Anolis sagrei: one gene and its partner. The protein of the gene in region 2 interacts with the protein of the main gene of each other region in a pairwise test. Links are inferred from orthologs where the notes say so. Each region holds a gene or a part of one and is shown on either strand. Other genes may lie near its edges.

The links.
Region 1: the proteins of KIFBP (region 2) and DOK2 interact in a two-hybrid assay, tested with the Homo sapiens proteins (2 studies listed by BioGRID and IntAct). The two-hybrid records come from large-scale screens. The link is inferred for Anolis sagrei from reciprocal best matches to the Homo sapiens genes KIFBP and DOK2.

The regions. Positions count from the first base shown.
Region 1 is NC_090027.1:21,571,218-21,578,479, reverse strand, and holds the start of DOK2 (docking protein 2), read left to right. Parts: upstream 1-4,199; 5' UTR 4,200-4,277; coding exon 4,278-4,343; intron 4,344-5,943; coding exon 5,944-6,243; intron 6,244-6,575; coding exon 6,576-6,684; intron 6,685-7,262. UniProt on the Homo sapiens protein: DOK proteins are enzymatically inert adaptor or scaffolding proteins. They provide a docking platform for the assembly of multimolecular signaling complexes. DOK2 may modulate the cellular proliferation induced by IL-4, as well as IL-2 and IL-3.
Region 2 is NC_090023.1:170,884,639-170,892,711, reverse strand, and holds the start of KIFBP (KIF-binding protein), read right to left. Parts: upstream 3,207-8,073; 5' UTR 3,148-3,206; coding exon 2,770-3,147; intron 1,418-2,769; coding exon 1,319-1,417; intron 1-1,318. Other genes in the region: DDX21 (nucleolar RNA helicase 2), read right to left, coding at 7,875-8,073. UniProt on the Homo sapiens protein: Activator of KIF1B plus-end-directed microtubule motor activity. Required for organization of axonal microtubules, and axonal outgrowth and maintenance during peripheral and central nervous system development.

The DNA of each region.
Region 1 (7,262 bases), on a different chromosome or scaffold from region 2:
CTGGATTATATGAGGCCCCTTCGAAGGGCCCTTCCACGCAGCAATATAACCAAGAATGTCAAGGCAGATAATCCACAACATCTGCTTTGAACTGGGTTATCTGAGTCCACACTGCCATATAATCCACATTATCTGCTTTGAACTGGATTATATGAGGCCCCTTCGAAGGGCCCTTCCACGCAGCAATATAACCAAGAATGTCAAGTCAGATAATCCACAACATCTGTTTTGAACTGGGTTATCTGAGTCCACACTGCCATATAATCCACATTATCTGTTTTGAACTGGGTTATCTGAGTCTACACTGCCATATAATCCACATTATCTGCTTTGAACTGGATTATATGAGGCCCCTTCGAAGGGCCCTTCCACGCAGCAATAAAACCCAGAATGTCAAGGCAGATAATCCACAACATCTGCTTTGAACTGGGTTATCTGAGTCCACACTGCCATATAATCCACTTCAGTGCGCATTATATATATATATATATATATATATATATATAGGTTTCTTCTACCCCGCCCTTCTCACCCCGAGGGGACTCAGAGCGGCTTACAAAGGCACAATTCGATGCCAGCATCACATAACAGTAGTAAAATAAAATAACATCAATTAAACAGTTAAAACAGTTGAACAGTTAAACAACAATTCCTGCATTACAATCCTAAAACCAATAAAACAATACAATCCCAATTACTCCTCATAGACGGTCAGCATTCGCTATCTCATAGTCCAATTTCCAATTCCACATTGTCAGTCCTGTCAGTCCTAGTCGTTTGATTGTCCTTATCTAGTTGTCAGATTGCCCAAAGGCCTGGCCCCACAACCACGTCTTTACTTTCCTCCTGAAGGAGAGGAGGGATGTTGACGCCCTAATTTCTCCCAGGAGTGAGTTCCACAGGTGAGAGGCCACCACCGAGAAGGCCCTGCTCCTCAAAGAGGATGTGGATTTTTATTGCAGTTTAGGCCCCCCTGTGTGGAAGGGGCCTAAACTGCAATAAAAATCCACATCCCCTTTGAACTGGATTATATGAGGCCCCTTCCACTGTCATATAAAATCTACATTATCTGCTCTGAACTGGATTATATGAGGGTCCTTCCACACAGCCATTTAACCCAGAATGTCAAGGCAGCTAATCCACAACATCTGCTTTGAACTGGGTGATCTGAGTCCACACTGCCCTATAATCCACTTCAGTGCGAATTTTATATAGCTGAATTTTATAAGGGGCCTAAACTGCAATAAAAATCCACATCCTCTTTGAACTGGATTATATGAGGCTCCTTCGAAGGGCCCTTCCATGCAGCAATATAACCCAGAATATCAAGGCTGATAATCCACAACATCTGCTTTGAACTGAGTCCACACTGCCATATAATCCATTTCAGTGCTGATTTTATATAACTGTGTGGAAAGGGCCTAAACTGCAATAAAAATCCACATCCTCTTTGAACTGGATTATATGAGGCCCCTTCGAAGGGCCCTTCCACTATCATATAAAATCCACATTATCTGCTCTGAGCTGGATTATATGAGGGTCCTTCCATACAGCCATTTAACCCAGAATGTCAAGGCAGATAATCCATAATATCTATTTTGAGCTGGATTATCTGAGTCCACACTGCCATATAATCCAGTTCAATGTGGATTTTATACAGCTGTGTGGAAGGGGATCTTCCACACAGCTCTCTCTCTCTCTCTCTCTCTCTCTATATATATATATATATCTGTCCTGTCAGCAGTGACTTGAGAAACTGCAAGTTGCTTCTGGTGTAAGAGAATTGGCTGTCTGCAATGACGTTGCCCAGGGGACGCCTAGATGATTTGATGTTTTTATCATCCTTGTGGGAGGCTTTTCTCATGTCCCCGCATGAGGAGCTGGAGTTGATAGAGGGAGCTCATCCGCCACTCCCCGGATTCGAACCTGCAACCTGTCGGTCTTCAGTCCTGCCGGCACAAGGGTTTAACCCACAGCCATATGAAAACCATGTTATTTGCTTTGAACTGGATTAGATGAAACCCCTTCCACATTGCCATGTAAAACTGACATTATCTGCTTTGAACTGAATTATCTGCTATAATCTGGTTTGTATGGCAGCGAGGAAGGGACCTCAGTTGCACTCAGATTTCTGGGGATGGGGTGTGGGGGGATTCTGCACAATGCAGTATCCACTTTTATTCTATTTCACCAAAAACTACAAAAAAATCCAGAGATACTTGGATTTGGCATGACATTGTTAATTGTAAGATGAAGTTTTTTCCTCATATTTATGGAGTTTTTATTTCAATTGGCATATTCTGAGAACTTTAATGCAAAAACATAACTTTCTCAGACTCCTTATTAGATCATCTAACCACTGTCCTGGATCATTTTATCATTGCATAACATACTTCATCAAGAAAAGCAAGCATTCCTTCAAAGTCAATAAAACCAGAGTAAAATATATAGAAGTTGTTTTAAAATGCAGGTGAATGATAGAATAAATTGTTTAAATTCCTTTAAAAACAAAAGACAGAAATCCAGATGTGGGAGGAACAGACCTAATCGTTTCTGAATTTCAGGCCAGTTTGAAACAGATTGGCTCCAAATCAGTCCCAGCAGAAAATGAACCATTCTTCAGAGCACTTGAAGTCTGTGTGCATCCCTCACATGCTTACATTTTCTTCAGTGTTTTACTGCAGCATTTACCACTTCATCACATTTACTAAATTCCACTGAGTGCTACACTTAAAATGTGGAAAACGACTGTGTTCATCACATTAGGTTGGTTTCACGTGTAGGATAGAGCATTCTTTACGTATTTTAAGTGTGGGAGCCAGCATTCTTTTCAAATGGTTCAGGAGGTGGTAGAGAAGTAGATTTTTGGTAACGTTCTGGATGTTTGGCCAGTTCTGTAATGTGATGGCATTCATTGCTCTCAGGTTTAAAATGAAATGTTTCCCCAATTTGTGGGAGGGGTAAATTGTGGAGCCAAAAGTTCCCTTGTTAGGGAAAGTTCTGCCAATTGTTTTTGCTTACCGAGTTTTTACTTTGCCAGAAGAATTTCTTTTTTTAAAATAGCCTGTGAAGTCTTGGGAATCATAGTTTTCCAAGATCCATACCTGTCTCTTGGTGCATTTACAATATGGAATGAATGCCCTTGCACTCCACTTTAAATGACAGAAGAGAAGGCTGAGAGGAGATATGATAGCCATGTATAAATATGTGAGAGGAAGCCACAGGGAGGAGGGAGCAAGCTTGTTTTCTGCTTCCCTGGAGACTAGGACGCGGAACAATGGCTTCAAACTACAAGAGAAGAGATTCCATCTGAACATGAGGAAGAACTTCCTGACTGTGAGAGCCATTCAACAGTGGAACTCTCTGCCCTGGAGTGTGGTGGAGGCTCCTTCTTTGGAAGCTTTTAAACAAAGGCTGGATGGCCATCTGTCAGGGGTGATTTGAATGCAATATTCCTGCTTCTTGGCAGGGGGTTGGACTGGATGGCCCATGAGTTCTCTTCCAACTCTTTGATTCTATGATTCTATTACATGGCTCCATGTGATGGCGTCCTCCTGGGAGTTACAGTTTTCCAAGGTCCCAAGGTCCATACCCTTCTCGGTGCATCTACACTGTGGAATGAATGCAGTTGGACCTTACTTTAAATGCCATGACTCCATGAGATGGTCTTGGGAATTGCAGTTTCCCAAGGTCCATGAACCTTTTCTGGGTGCATGTACACTGTGAAATGAATGCAGTTGGACCCCACTTTAAATGCTATGTCTCTGTGAGATGGAGTCCTCCTGGAAGTTATTGTTTCCTGAGGTCTATACCATTCTTTTGGTGCATTTACACTATGGAATGAATGCTCTTGGACCTCAATTTAAATGCCATTGCTCAGTGTGATTGAGTCCTCCTGGGAGTTGCGGTTTCCTGAGGTCCATCCCTTCTCTGGGTGCATCTACACTATTGAATGAATGCAGTTGGTGCCCATACCATAGCTCCATACTATATAGTCCTGGGATATATAGTTTCCAAAGATCCACACCTTTCTCTGTGGAACTTTATGCTTGTGTTTCTGCAGGGACCAGTTTATGCTGTTTTTGTCCTTTTGGGTGAGGTTACAACCACAGGAAGCTGACTTAGCATGCTTTCTTGAAAGGGTAGAAAAGTGAGCGAGAGATGTTTTTGAGCACCATTGAGCACACAATTGGCAAAAGCAAAGAGCGGGAGAGAAAACTCCTGAGAAGAACTGGAGAAAGAGGCTCTGGACAAGTGGACCTCTTGCCTTGTGCTCAATGATGGAAGAAGCCGTGGTGAAGAAGGGCTTCCTCTACATGTACCAGCAGCAGACCTTTGGGAAGGTAAGGCCCAAAGTTGAGGGTTAAGGCTTTTGTTGGGAGTTTCTTAAAGAGATGATGCATTGGGCTCCATCATCCTTTGCTAAGATAGTCACAAAGTTGTGTTGGCTCAAATTCCATGCCTCATGCTGGAATTCATTTTCTTGTAATTGGAATCCATTGGTGATGTTCTAGGGTTCATCTACACAGTAGAATTAATGCAATGGACACCATTTTGATTGCATGGCTCAAGTTTATGGTATCCTAGAAGCCACTCCTACTTGCCACTTTTTGACAGAGAAAGCTAGAAAAACTTGCAAAACCACAACTCCCAGGATTCCATGTTGTCCTCATTGTCTGAGTATGATGGCCTTCTAAATGTAGTGTCTTGGTATTGGATACGTAGGTGACGGTGGAGCCCTATTCTTGATCTGTATGTTCTTCCATATTGAAGGCATCGGTTTCCAGGTGGAAGGCTGTCCCAGTCAGGGTTGGCTTGATGTGCCTTCTGTGGTGGTATGAAAATCATGTATAATTTACGTTTTACCTGTCCGCACACTGTCTTGCCAGAGAAAGAAAAATATGCCACGCAGATGAAGAACAAGAATTTTACTCTTTGTAATGCAGAGCAATATATATACAATCGTGTGAACAGTTGCATTGACTCACACAATGTCATTTGAGAGAGATTCAAATGGCATTTAGGTGTCCATGTAGGAGATCTTTCAGCAGCTCATGAAGCAAGAATTGAAACTGTCTCCTTGCTAGATCCTGCACAGCTGAAGCCTAAAATGTAACTGTTGCCAAAATTCCCAGGCTCAGCTAGTATTTTGGGCATAGCCCACCCAATTGGCTTTGTGCTCTGCATTTTAAGTTAACACACTGATCAACTGATTTTTTACATGCCCCAATACCTTCTTTCTCTTAGCACATTTCTCCCTTTCACCCTCCATTCATGCCTCTTCAAATTCCACAGCACTGCTGGTCACAGCTGACCTCCAGTTAGAGCATTCAAGGGCCAGGGCTTCCCACTTCCCAATGTCTATGCCACGGTTTTTGAGGTTAGCTTTAAGCCCATCTTTAAATCTCTTTTTCTGCCCACCAACATTCCATTTTCCATTCTTGAGTTGGAAGTATAGTAACTGCTTTGGGGGACAGTAATTGGGCATTCAGACAACATGCCAGTCCAGCGGAGTTGATGGCATAAGAGCATCACTTCAATGCTAGTGGTCTTTGCGCCTTCCAGCACGCTGACATTTGTCTGCCTGTCTTCTCGAGAGATTTGCAGTATTTTTCGTAGGCAATGATGATGGAATCGTTCCAGGAGTTGAGTGACATCTGTAGACAGTTCACATTTCACAGATGTATAGCAGGGTTCGGAGGACAATAGCTTTATATTCCATAGCTCTGAGTCATGGTAAAGTGATGTCAAACTGCATTCATTTTACAGTGTAGATGTATTGCGAGTCTTCGGAGTAATAGAAAACAAGCTCACGCCTCTTCAGATATTTAAAGATAACTTGCATGCCATGTCTTCAGTCTCCTCTCCTCCAGTCTGTGAGATGCTGTGTGAACCAAGGGGCATTTCCATGTAGAAACTTGGTTGACTTTTTTGTCTCCCCAGAAATGGCGGAAGTTCTGGGGCGTCTTGTACCGGGGGAGCAGCTGTGCCTCGTCCCGCCTGGAGCTCCTCGGATGCACGCTGCCTCCATCTGCAGGGAAAACCAAGAAGAAGGAGACCAGTAGCCGGCGCCTGATCCACCTGAGAGACTGTGTCTATGTGGCCGAGACAACCAAAGATGACGGCTGCCTTAAGGAGACCACCCCCTTCCTCCTGGAGACCACTGAGAAGTGCTATCTTCTGGCAGCTGAGAGCACCGAGGCAGCAGCCTGGATCCTGGCACTATGTGAACATGCCTTTAAGGTAAGGTGGCAGCTAAGGGGTCGCTTGGCCCACAGAGAATGGAGGGGTGCAAAAAGGAGAAGGGGCATTCTCTCATAGCCTGGAACCACTGAAGACTGACCTCCAAGTAAAAGTGGGTGAAGCTTTGAAAACAGCAAATGAGATTCACAAGCCACTCAAGTCTACCTGTCCAACCCAGAAGGGCTGCTATTCTCTTATGGGCAGTTCCTCAAAGGTAGCCTCTAAAGAGGTGTTGACAATACAGAGAATGCAGCTGGGCTCTCAGGTCAACTAGCCAGGCCCTGGGCAGCTGTCGACTAATAGGAGACCTTCTTCTTCCCCTTGGTTTCCAGAGGAATAGCGAGTTGGAGAAGGACGGACTGGAAGGCAAGCCTCCCTCTTCCCCTTCCCCTTCTTCCCTTTCCATGGTGGAGAATCCTCTGTACAGCCCAACCTGCAAAGGTAGGAGAGGAGGGGCACCAGCGATTGGGGGTTGGAGGGGAGGGTCATAGAGAGGGAAGGGATGTGGGCCATCTCTCTTCAATATCAGGGGTCACGTATTTGATGTCCTGGACCATTGAGCCTCCACCCCAGTGTTCCAAGACAAGGTGCCACCATTTTGGTCAGTTGCTGAGGTCAAAGACCTGACCGATGAGAGACCTCCAAAAACACCCTGGCATCACCATCCATGGCATCCTTACTGGAGTCCTTCCACCTGGAATGGGGTCTCCATCTTTCCCTACTGCTGTCCCTTTTACCAGCCATTGTTGTCTTTCCCATGGGTATCTCATGATATGTAGGAAGTATTATTCTTGTTATTGTTGTGTGCCTTTGAGTAATTTCAAAATCTCTCCCCTCCCTGCCCCTCTCAAAAGTGTGGTTGCAAAGGCCAGGCGTGAGGTGCTGGCCCTCTTTCCTGCCTGAGCCAAGCAATGCTCTTTGGCCAAAGCAGCCCAGAGACCCATCTTTTGCAGCCGACTTCACTTGACCGCTTCCTGCCTTGTGGCTTTACAAGACGAAGCCTCCTCCTGCAGATAAGT
Region 2 (8,073 bases):
GGAAGTAGGAAAAAGGGTTTATATATCTGTGGAATGACCAGGGTGAGACAAAGGACTCTTTTCTGCTGGAGCTAGGTGTGAATGTTTCAACTGACCACCTTGATTAGCATTTGATTGCCTGGCAGTGCCTGGAGCAATCTTTTGTTGAGAGGTAATTAGATGTCCCTGCCTGCTTCCTCTCTGTTGTTGTGCTGTTGCAATTTTAGAGTTTTTTAATACTGGTAGCCAGATTTTGTTCATTTTCATGGTTTCCTCCTTTCTGTTGAAATTGTCCACATGCCTGTGTATTTCAATGGCTTCTCTGTGTAGTCTGACATGGTGGTTGTGAGAGTGGTCCAGCATTTCTGTGTTCTCAAATAAAATGCTGTGTCCAGGTTGGTTCATCAGGTGCTCTGCTATGGCTGACTTCTCTGGTTGAAGTAGTCTGCAGTGCCTTTCATGTTTCAGCATAGTGATTAGTGTCTATTGGTCTGTGTATTTTTGGTTTTGTCTGTTATTGTTGATATGGTCAGTGGACTAATCTATAAACAGAGCTATCTATCTTAGCATAAGCAGAGCAGTAACCCTGATTCTGCACCAACAGCATAACAATTGTACAAGAGCAGCGGAGCAATGCAGCCTTATTTACTTGGGAGTATTTATACTCTTCCGGGGAGCGGCGTGAGCTTTTGCTGTCAGCCCTAGCTTCTGCCAACCTAGCAGTATGAAAATATGGAAATGTGAGTAGATTAATAGGTACCGCTCCGGCGGGAAGGTAAGGGCGCTCCATGCAGTCATGCCGGCCACATGACCTTGGAGGTGTCTACAGACAACGCTGACTCTTCGGCTTAGAAATGGAGATGAGCACCACCCCCCAGAGTCGGACATGACTGAACTTAATGTCAGGGGAAAGCCTTTACCTTTACTATTATATAAGTAAAATTAAATAGAAATTCTGATAACTTTGGACACAAGCTTCGGCTTAACACCTTTGCTTAAATTGTAGCAATTTTGAAACGTAACATAAAAATGAAATTACAGTGCTAGATAGATTTACTAGATACGATTATAAATTTCTAAAATAATGGCTCCTAAGTGAAAGATACTGGCTCTCAGTTTCACAACATATTATCTAGGTTGCAAAATTCAACAATCATGCACCCAGACAACTTGCTTCTTATGTTATGACCACAGCCTATCAACACCAGAACTTAGAAATTCAATTACTCTCACATCCAAGAATTGACACACTGCAGAAACACAAATAATAATAAAGCTTTATTTATATTCCACTCTATCTCCCCAAAGAGACTCAAAGCAAATTATTTCAACATATTACCTCTTTCATGTACTGGTTATACAAAGCCTCTGCAGATTCCAAATATGGCTGTGCTGTCTTAATGTCCTCTCTTTCTGACCAGAGGATACCCAGATTATTCTGCAAAATAAGGAAAGATTAAATTGTTATTTTAAAAGACATCATACAAAGAAAATGAAATCCTACAAGGGGTGGAAAATGAAAGCTACACTTGTAATTTTAGAGATTTTTAATACTGGTAGCCAGATTTTGTTCATTTTCAGGGTCTCCTCCTTTCTGTTGAAATTGTCCATATGCTTGTGGATTTCAATGGCTTCTCTGTGTACAAAGAAAGGAGAAGACCATGAAAATGAACAAAATCTGGCTACCAGTATTAAAAAACTCTAAAATTACTACAGCAAAACAGCAGAGAGGAAACAACTAGGTACATCTTAACACCTCTTAACAGAACATTTTCCCAGGCTCAGCCAGGCCTTCAAATGCTAATGAAGGTGGTCAGCTGAAACATTCACACCTAGCTTCAGCAGAGAGCTCTTTGCCCCACCCCAGTCATTCCACAGATATATAAACCCATTTTCCTATTTCCAACAGACCTCACTACCTCTGAGGATGCTTGCCATAGATGCAGGCGAAACGTCAGGAGAAATGCCTCTAGAACATGGCCCTATAGCCCGAAAAAACCTACTAGAACCTAGAAGATAGATTCTTTTAAACTGTGGTGTTGGAGGAAAGTTCTGAGAGTGCCTTGGACTGCGAGAAGATCCAACCAGTCCATCCTCCAGGAAATAAAGCCCGACTGCTCATTGGAGGGAAGGATACTAGAGACAAAGTTGAAGTACTTTGGCCACATCATGAGGAGACAGCAAAGCCTAGAGAAGACAATTATGCTGGGGAAAGTGGAAGGCAAAAGGAAGAGGGGCCGACCAAGGGCAAGATGGATGGATGGCATCCTTGAAGTGACTGGACTGACCTTGAAGGAGCTGGGGGTGGTGACGGCCGACAGAGAGCTCTGGCATGGGCTGGTCCATGAGGTCACGAAGAGTCGGAGACGACTGAATGAATGAACAACATAAATCCCAGTAACTACGAATCCGGACATACATTGGGTTGTTAGGTGTCTTGTGTCCAAATTTGGTGTCAATTCCCCCAGTGATTTCTGAGTTCTGTTGGTAGCACGAACTAACATTACATTTTTATTTATATTGAAGATTATTATTTTGGTCACAAACCTTTTAGATAAGGGGTATTCAATCTTAGCACATATAAAGTGTGCTTATGAAAAAAGTGATGGTGGCTCAATCCAGCTACAGAGATTGTTTAAATATAAAAATAGAATACATTTCTGTGCTTTAAGCTCTTTTGGGTATGCTCCCCCCTCCTCTGTAATGCAGCCCTCTGTTGTTCTGTGACGTCACCACGCGCGCCCTTAGTGACGCCACCGCGCTCTTCCCTCCCTCCCCCGCCCGTCCCACCTGGGCCTGGATGTAGAGGGAGACGCAGTCTCGCGAGAGGCGGTGCCGCTCCAGCAGCTGGAGGCACTTGGCCAGGTGCTCCTCTCCGGCCGAGCGTTCCTGCGTGTCTGTGTGGTTCATTCCCAGCTCGTACTCCACCGCCGCCAGCCGCGCGGCGCGCATGCGCTCTTCCTCGGCGCCCTCCTCCGCAGGGCCGCCCTCGGCCTCGCCAACCTCCTCCGAGCCCAGCGACTGCTTGATGCCTTCGAGCAGCTCCCGGGCGCTGTACTTGGAGCGGTACGGCTCGGTCTCCGGGTCCTTCTTGGACTCCACGTAGGAGAGGTTGAGGGCGTTGCGGAACTTCTCGCACAGCGAAGCCCACTCGGCCGGCGCCGCCATTTTGTCCGCCTCTCCCTCAGCGCGTCTCCAGGGTTTCTAACCCGACCGTCGACTGGCGCGCATGCGCAGTCAGGGAGCGCGCCAGAGAACGTCCTCTTGGCTCCCTTCCCTCCGTTACAGCCGCCTTCCACGCTTCTCAGTTGTTGTTCAGTCGTTTAGTCGTTTCCGACTCTTCATAACCTCATGGACCAGCCTCCCTGTCGGCCGTCACCACCCCCAGCTCCTTTAAAGCCAAGCTAGTCAGTTCAAGGATCCCATCCATCCATCTTGCCCTCATGGACCAGCCCAAGCCAGAGCTCCCTGTCGGCCGTCACCACCCCCAGCTCCTTTAAAGCCAAGCTAGTCAGTTCAAGGATCCCATCCATCCATCTTGCCCTCATGGACCAGCCCAAGCCAGAGCTCCCTGTCAGCCGTCACCACCCCCAGCTCCTTCAAGGTCAAGCCAGTCAGTTCAAGGATGCCATCCATCCATCTTGCCCTCATGGACCAGCCCAAGCCAGAGCTCCCTGTCGACTGTCACCACCCCCAGCGCCTTCAAGGTCAAGCAAGTCAATTCAAGGATCCCATCCATCTTGCCCAAGCCAGTGCTCCCTGTCAGCCGTCACCACCCCCAGCTCCTTCAAGGTCAAGCCAGTCAGTTCAAGGATGCCATCCATCCATCTTGCCCTCATGGACCAGCCCAAGCCAGAGCTCCCTGTTAGAATCAAAGAGTTGGAAGAGACCTCATGGGCCATCCAGTCCAACCCCCTGACAAGAAGCAGGAACATTGCATTCAAATCACCCCTGACAGATGGCCATCCAGCTCCTTAAGCCGCTCCTCATAGGGTTCGTTATCCAGTTCTCCAGACCCTTGATCATTCTAGTTGCCCTCCTCTGGACACATTCCAGCTTGATAATATCAAGCTGGAATGTGGGGCCATCACCACCCCCAGCTCCTTCAAGGTCAAGTCAGTCTATTCAAGGATCCCATCCATCCATCTTGCCTTTGGTCGACCCCTCTTCCTTTTTCCTTCCATATTCCCCAGCATCATTGTCTGGAGAACAAGCCCTGTGAGGAGCAGCTTAAGGAGCTGGGCATGTTTAGCCTGAAGAAGAGAAGGCTGAGAGGAGACATGATAGCCATGTATAAATATGTGAGAGGAAGCCACAGGGAGGAGGGAGCAAGCTTGTTTTCTGCTTCCCTGGAAACTAGGACGCAGAACAATGGCTTCAAACTACAAGAAAGGAGATTCCACCTGAACACGAGGAAGAACTTCCTGACTGGGAGAGCTGTTCATCAGTGGAACTCTCTGCCCTGGAGTGTGGTGGAGGCTCCTTCTTTGGAGGTTTTTAAACAGAGGCTGGATGGCCATCTGTCAGAGGTGCTTTGAATGCAATATTCCTGCTTCTTGGCAGGGGGTTGGACTGGATGACCCATGAGGTTTTTTTCCAACTCTAGGATTCTATAATTCTATTGTTTTCTCTAAGCTTTCCCTTCTTCCTTCTTCTCATGATGTGGCCGCTGGGCGTCTTTCATAACCAGTTGTTTCTACTTAATGTGAATGTGGCAGTTTTTTTTAATATGTGTATTTGTAATATATACATTGAGTTAATTTAGTTATTTTCATATTACCACAATCAGTGGGTTTTGGTCTCCATAGTTTCAGGGTAACCCATTTTTCTTTTTGGCATTATGGGTATCTGCCAGGTGTTGGATTCCTTCAGCCTTCTTTCTCCACCAGATGTTATTGAGTTCTCTTGTCCTTTGGACCTCAGCTTTTGCACTAACGTAGATCTTTTTCTTAGTAGCACAGTTGATATCTCTCTGCCATGTTTGGAAGGCTTTCCTTTTCTTGTCAAGTTAGCTGTTGGATCTCGTCATTTTCGTCAAACCAATCTTGATGTTTCCTGGTTTGATATCCAGTAGTTTCTTCGCAGGCTGTGATGATGGAGGTCTTCAGTTTGTTCCAACGTTCCTCAACATTTTCAGGGTGTTCTGTGGGTAGATGGTTCTTGAGTGCTGTTTGGAGATGAGCTCGTTTGGAGGGCTTCTGAAGGACTTGGGTGTTCATTTAGCACCGTGTCTTTCTTCCTTGGAGTCTGCGCTTGGGGGCCATCTTGATAGCCATCGTGGATTGGATTAGCCTGTGGTCTGTCCAGCAGTCGTCAGCACCTGTCATGGCTCTTATGAGAAGCATGTCACAGCCGTTTCTGGCCCGTGTGATTACGTAGTCTAAGAGGTGCCAATGCTTTGACCGGGGGTGCTTCCATGATGTCTTGAACTTGTTTTTCTGGTGGAAGAGCATGTTGGTGATGACAAGGTTGTGTTCCACACAATGCCATTCGAGTTGCTGTTTCCAACCCCGTCTTTTTCTATGATCCCTGGCCACAGGTCGAAGTCTTGCCCGACTTTTGCATTAAAATTCCTCAGGAGGATGATTTTGTCCTCCTTAGGTATCTCTGATAGGACGGTGTTCAGCTGACAGTAAAATTTTTCCTTGATGTTTTAATCAGCATCTAGTGTTAGTGCATAGGCACTTATGATGGTTGCCTGTTGGTTTTTGGCAAATTCAGTTCGGAGGGTTGAGAGTCGTTCATTGATGCCAGTGGGTGCTTCGGTCAGATGTTTCACCAGGTCATTTCTGATAGCAAAGCCAACTCCGTGCATTCTTTAGTCTTAATCAGTCAGGCTCTTCCAGAAGAACATCTCTCTTCCAACAAACAGTAGGCAGGTGTTTGCATGTCTGCAATCTGTGTGGTCCCAAAGTCTAAAAAGTCTGTACTCTGCTGGTTCCAGAGCGGATCATGTGGTCTGCAGCCCCTCCCACAACTTCTCAGGAGAAACATAGAGCAAGGAAAGAAAGTTGCATATCAGAGCATACATACAATATCTATAAGCAACAAGCTTATTGTAAAGGAGACCGTTTTAATGCCACCGAATGCCACCAAATGTGAAGGTGCGAGTGGTAAAACACCCACTGCCACCTAATCTATGAGGGAAGCCAGGCAACGCTCAATATCAACCTAGGAGCTATTTTATAAAGGGACTGTTAATTACAGAAGGCTTTATTTATTTGATAGCGTAGCGTTTACTTTCCTGGCTTGACTTTACTATTGCAGGCTGTTCAACTTAGGAGAAATTGTATGAGGCAAGGCTTGAGGAGAACAGTAACAAGTTTATTTTAACAGGAGTATAACATGTTTAACTGTTTCTTCAAGAGAGGCACAAATCTTGATGGTTACATTGGAAAGGTTTCATAAGTAATCTCAGGCACAGACTTCAAAACGTTTCACAGCAGGCACAGCAGGCTTAAACCTAGCCAAACCTTGATTCTTAATTCAGAATCAACAACCCCCTGTAGCTCTCTCACTACCGGGTCCTTCTCTGCAACCACTTTGGTCACCAATTGATTCCCTGAATCCCCACCCTGAGATTCAGTCTTTCCTATAGCACACCGGTTACAGACACTTTTCCTGAATCTCCACCTAGAGACTCAGTCCTCTCAGTAGCTCTCCGGCCACTGACTGACTTTTTAAAACAGCTGCCTCCTGAAGAGGCAGTTGGCTCCGCCCCTGTTGCTACGGCAACTTAGCTAACGCCAAGCCACCATCTCCAACAAAACATAATCTCCCATACTTACCATCCCTAAACCACTATGCAAACTACACATAACCAAAGAAATAAAACTTACACATCGTCACACTTATAGATAAACCAATTGCTAGAAGAGGATGGAAGAAGATACAGAGGGCCAACAATTATTTTTGTACATAGTGGTGGTGCAAGTGTGCAAAAGGAAATTGCAAATCTTGGACTTTGGCTCAACATCTCAAAAACAGTACATAGCAAAGCCAACTCCGTGCCTTCTTTGGTCTTCATCAGGCAGTCCCTTCCAGAAGAACATCTCTTATAATAAACAGCAGGCAAATGTTTGCAAGTCTGCAATCTGTGTGGTCCCGAAAAAGTCTGTACACTGCTGGTTCCAGAGCGGATCATGTGGTCTGCAACCCCTCCCACAACTTCTCCATCAATATAAATGTAAGACCTCGGCAAACTCACCAGATTAAATACCTCAGCTCAAAAATCACCTCCAACAGAGTTACAAACTGGGTAGGTGCAGGGAATGCCATGAATGTAGCATATCTGGATTTCAGTAAGGCTTTCAACAAGGTCCCCCATGACCTTCTGGCATTTCAGTGGGAGGTGTGAGTCTGCTTTTGGCAAATGAGATCGGATTGTTGTTGTTGTGTGCTTTCAAGTCATTTCAGACTTAGGCTGACCCTGAGTGAGGGCCAGGTAAATGACCTTGGAGGGCCACATCCGGCCCTCGGGCCTTAGTTTGAGGACCCCTGTTCTAAATGTATTACTATAAGAGCTTGTAGCAAATGTGGTAACTGTAGCAGCACTAGGTTCGGTCTTGGTTTATTATGCTAGTGACCTGGTGTGGTGTAATGGCTTGAGCACCGGATTATGACTGGATAACAGGGTTCAAATTCCTCCTTGCCCAGGAAATGCACTATGCAAGTCATATTATCTGTCTCATCTAAACAAATCTTGCTAGGTCAGAAATGACTTGAAGACACAGCAGCAATGAAACGCCAATCCTAATATTTGTCAACATGAGTTTTGCAACCAGACAAAACCAAACTAATAAAAAAGAAAACACATAAGGAAAGTGTAAATCAATTTTTACTGTTGTTAAAACATCCTTTATATTTGACAGTTGCAAATGATCAAAAAAGCCCGGTCAAAAGTTTCGTTTTTGGCCCCTGTTTCTGAATCTGTCACGCCTGTTCGAGTCACCACCGCGTCTTCCATTTCTGAAATTAGAGCCCCCTCCGCCCCCTCTTCTGTTCCTGAAGTCAGGTTTGCCGCCGCCGCCTCGGCCAGGCTCCTTGAGCGATTCTTCAAGCTCAGGTAATTCTGTTGCCACAGAGAGTTGCCAG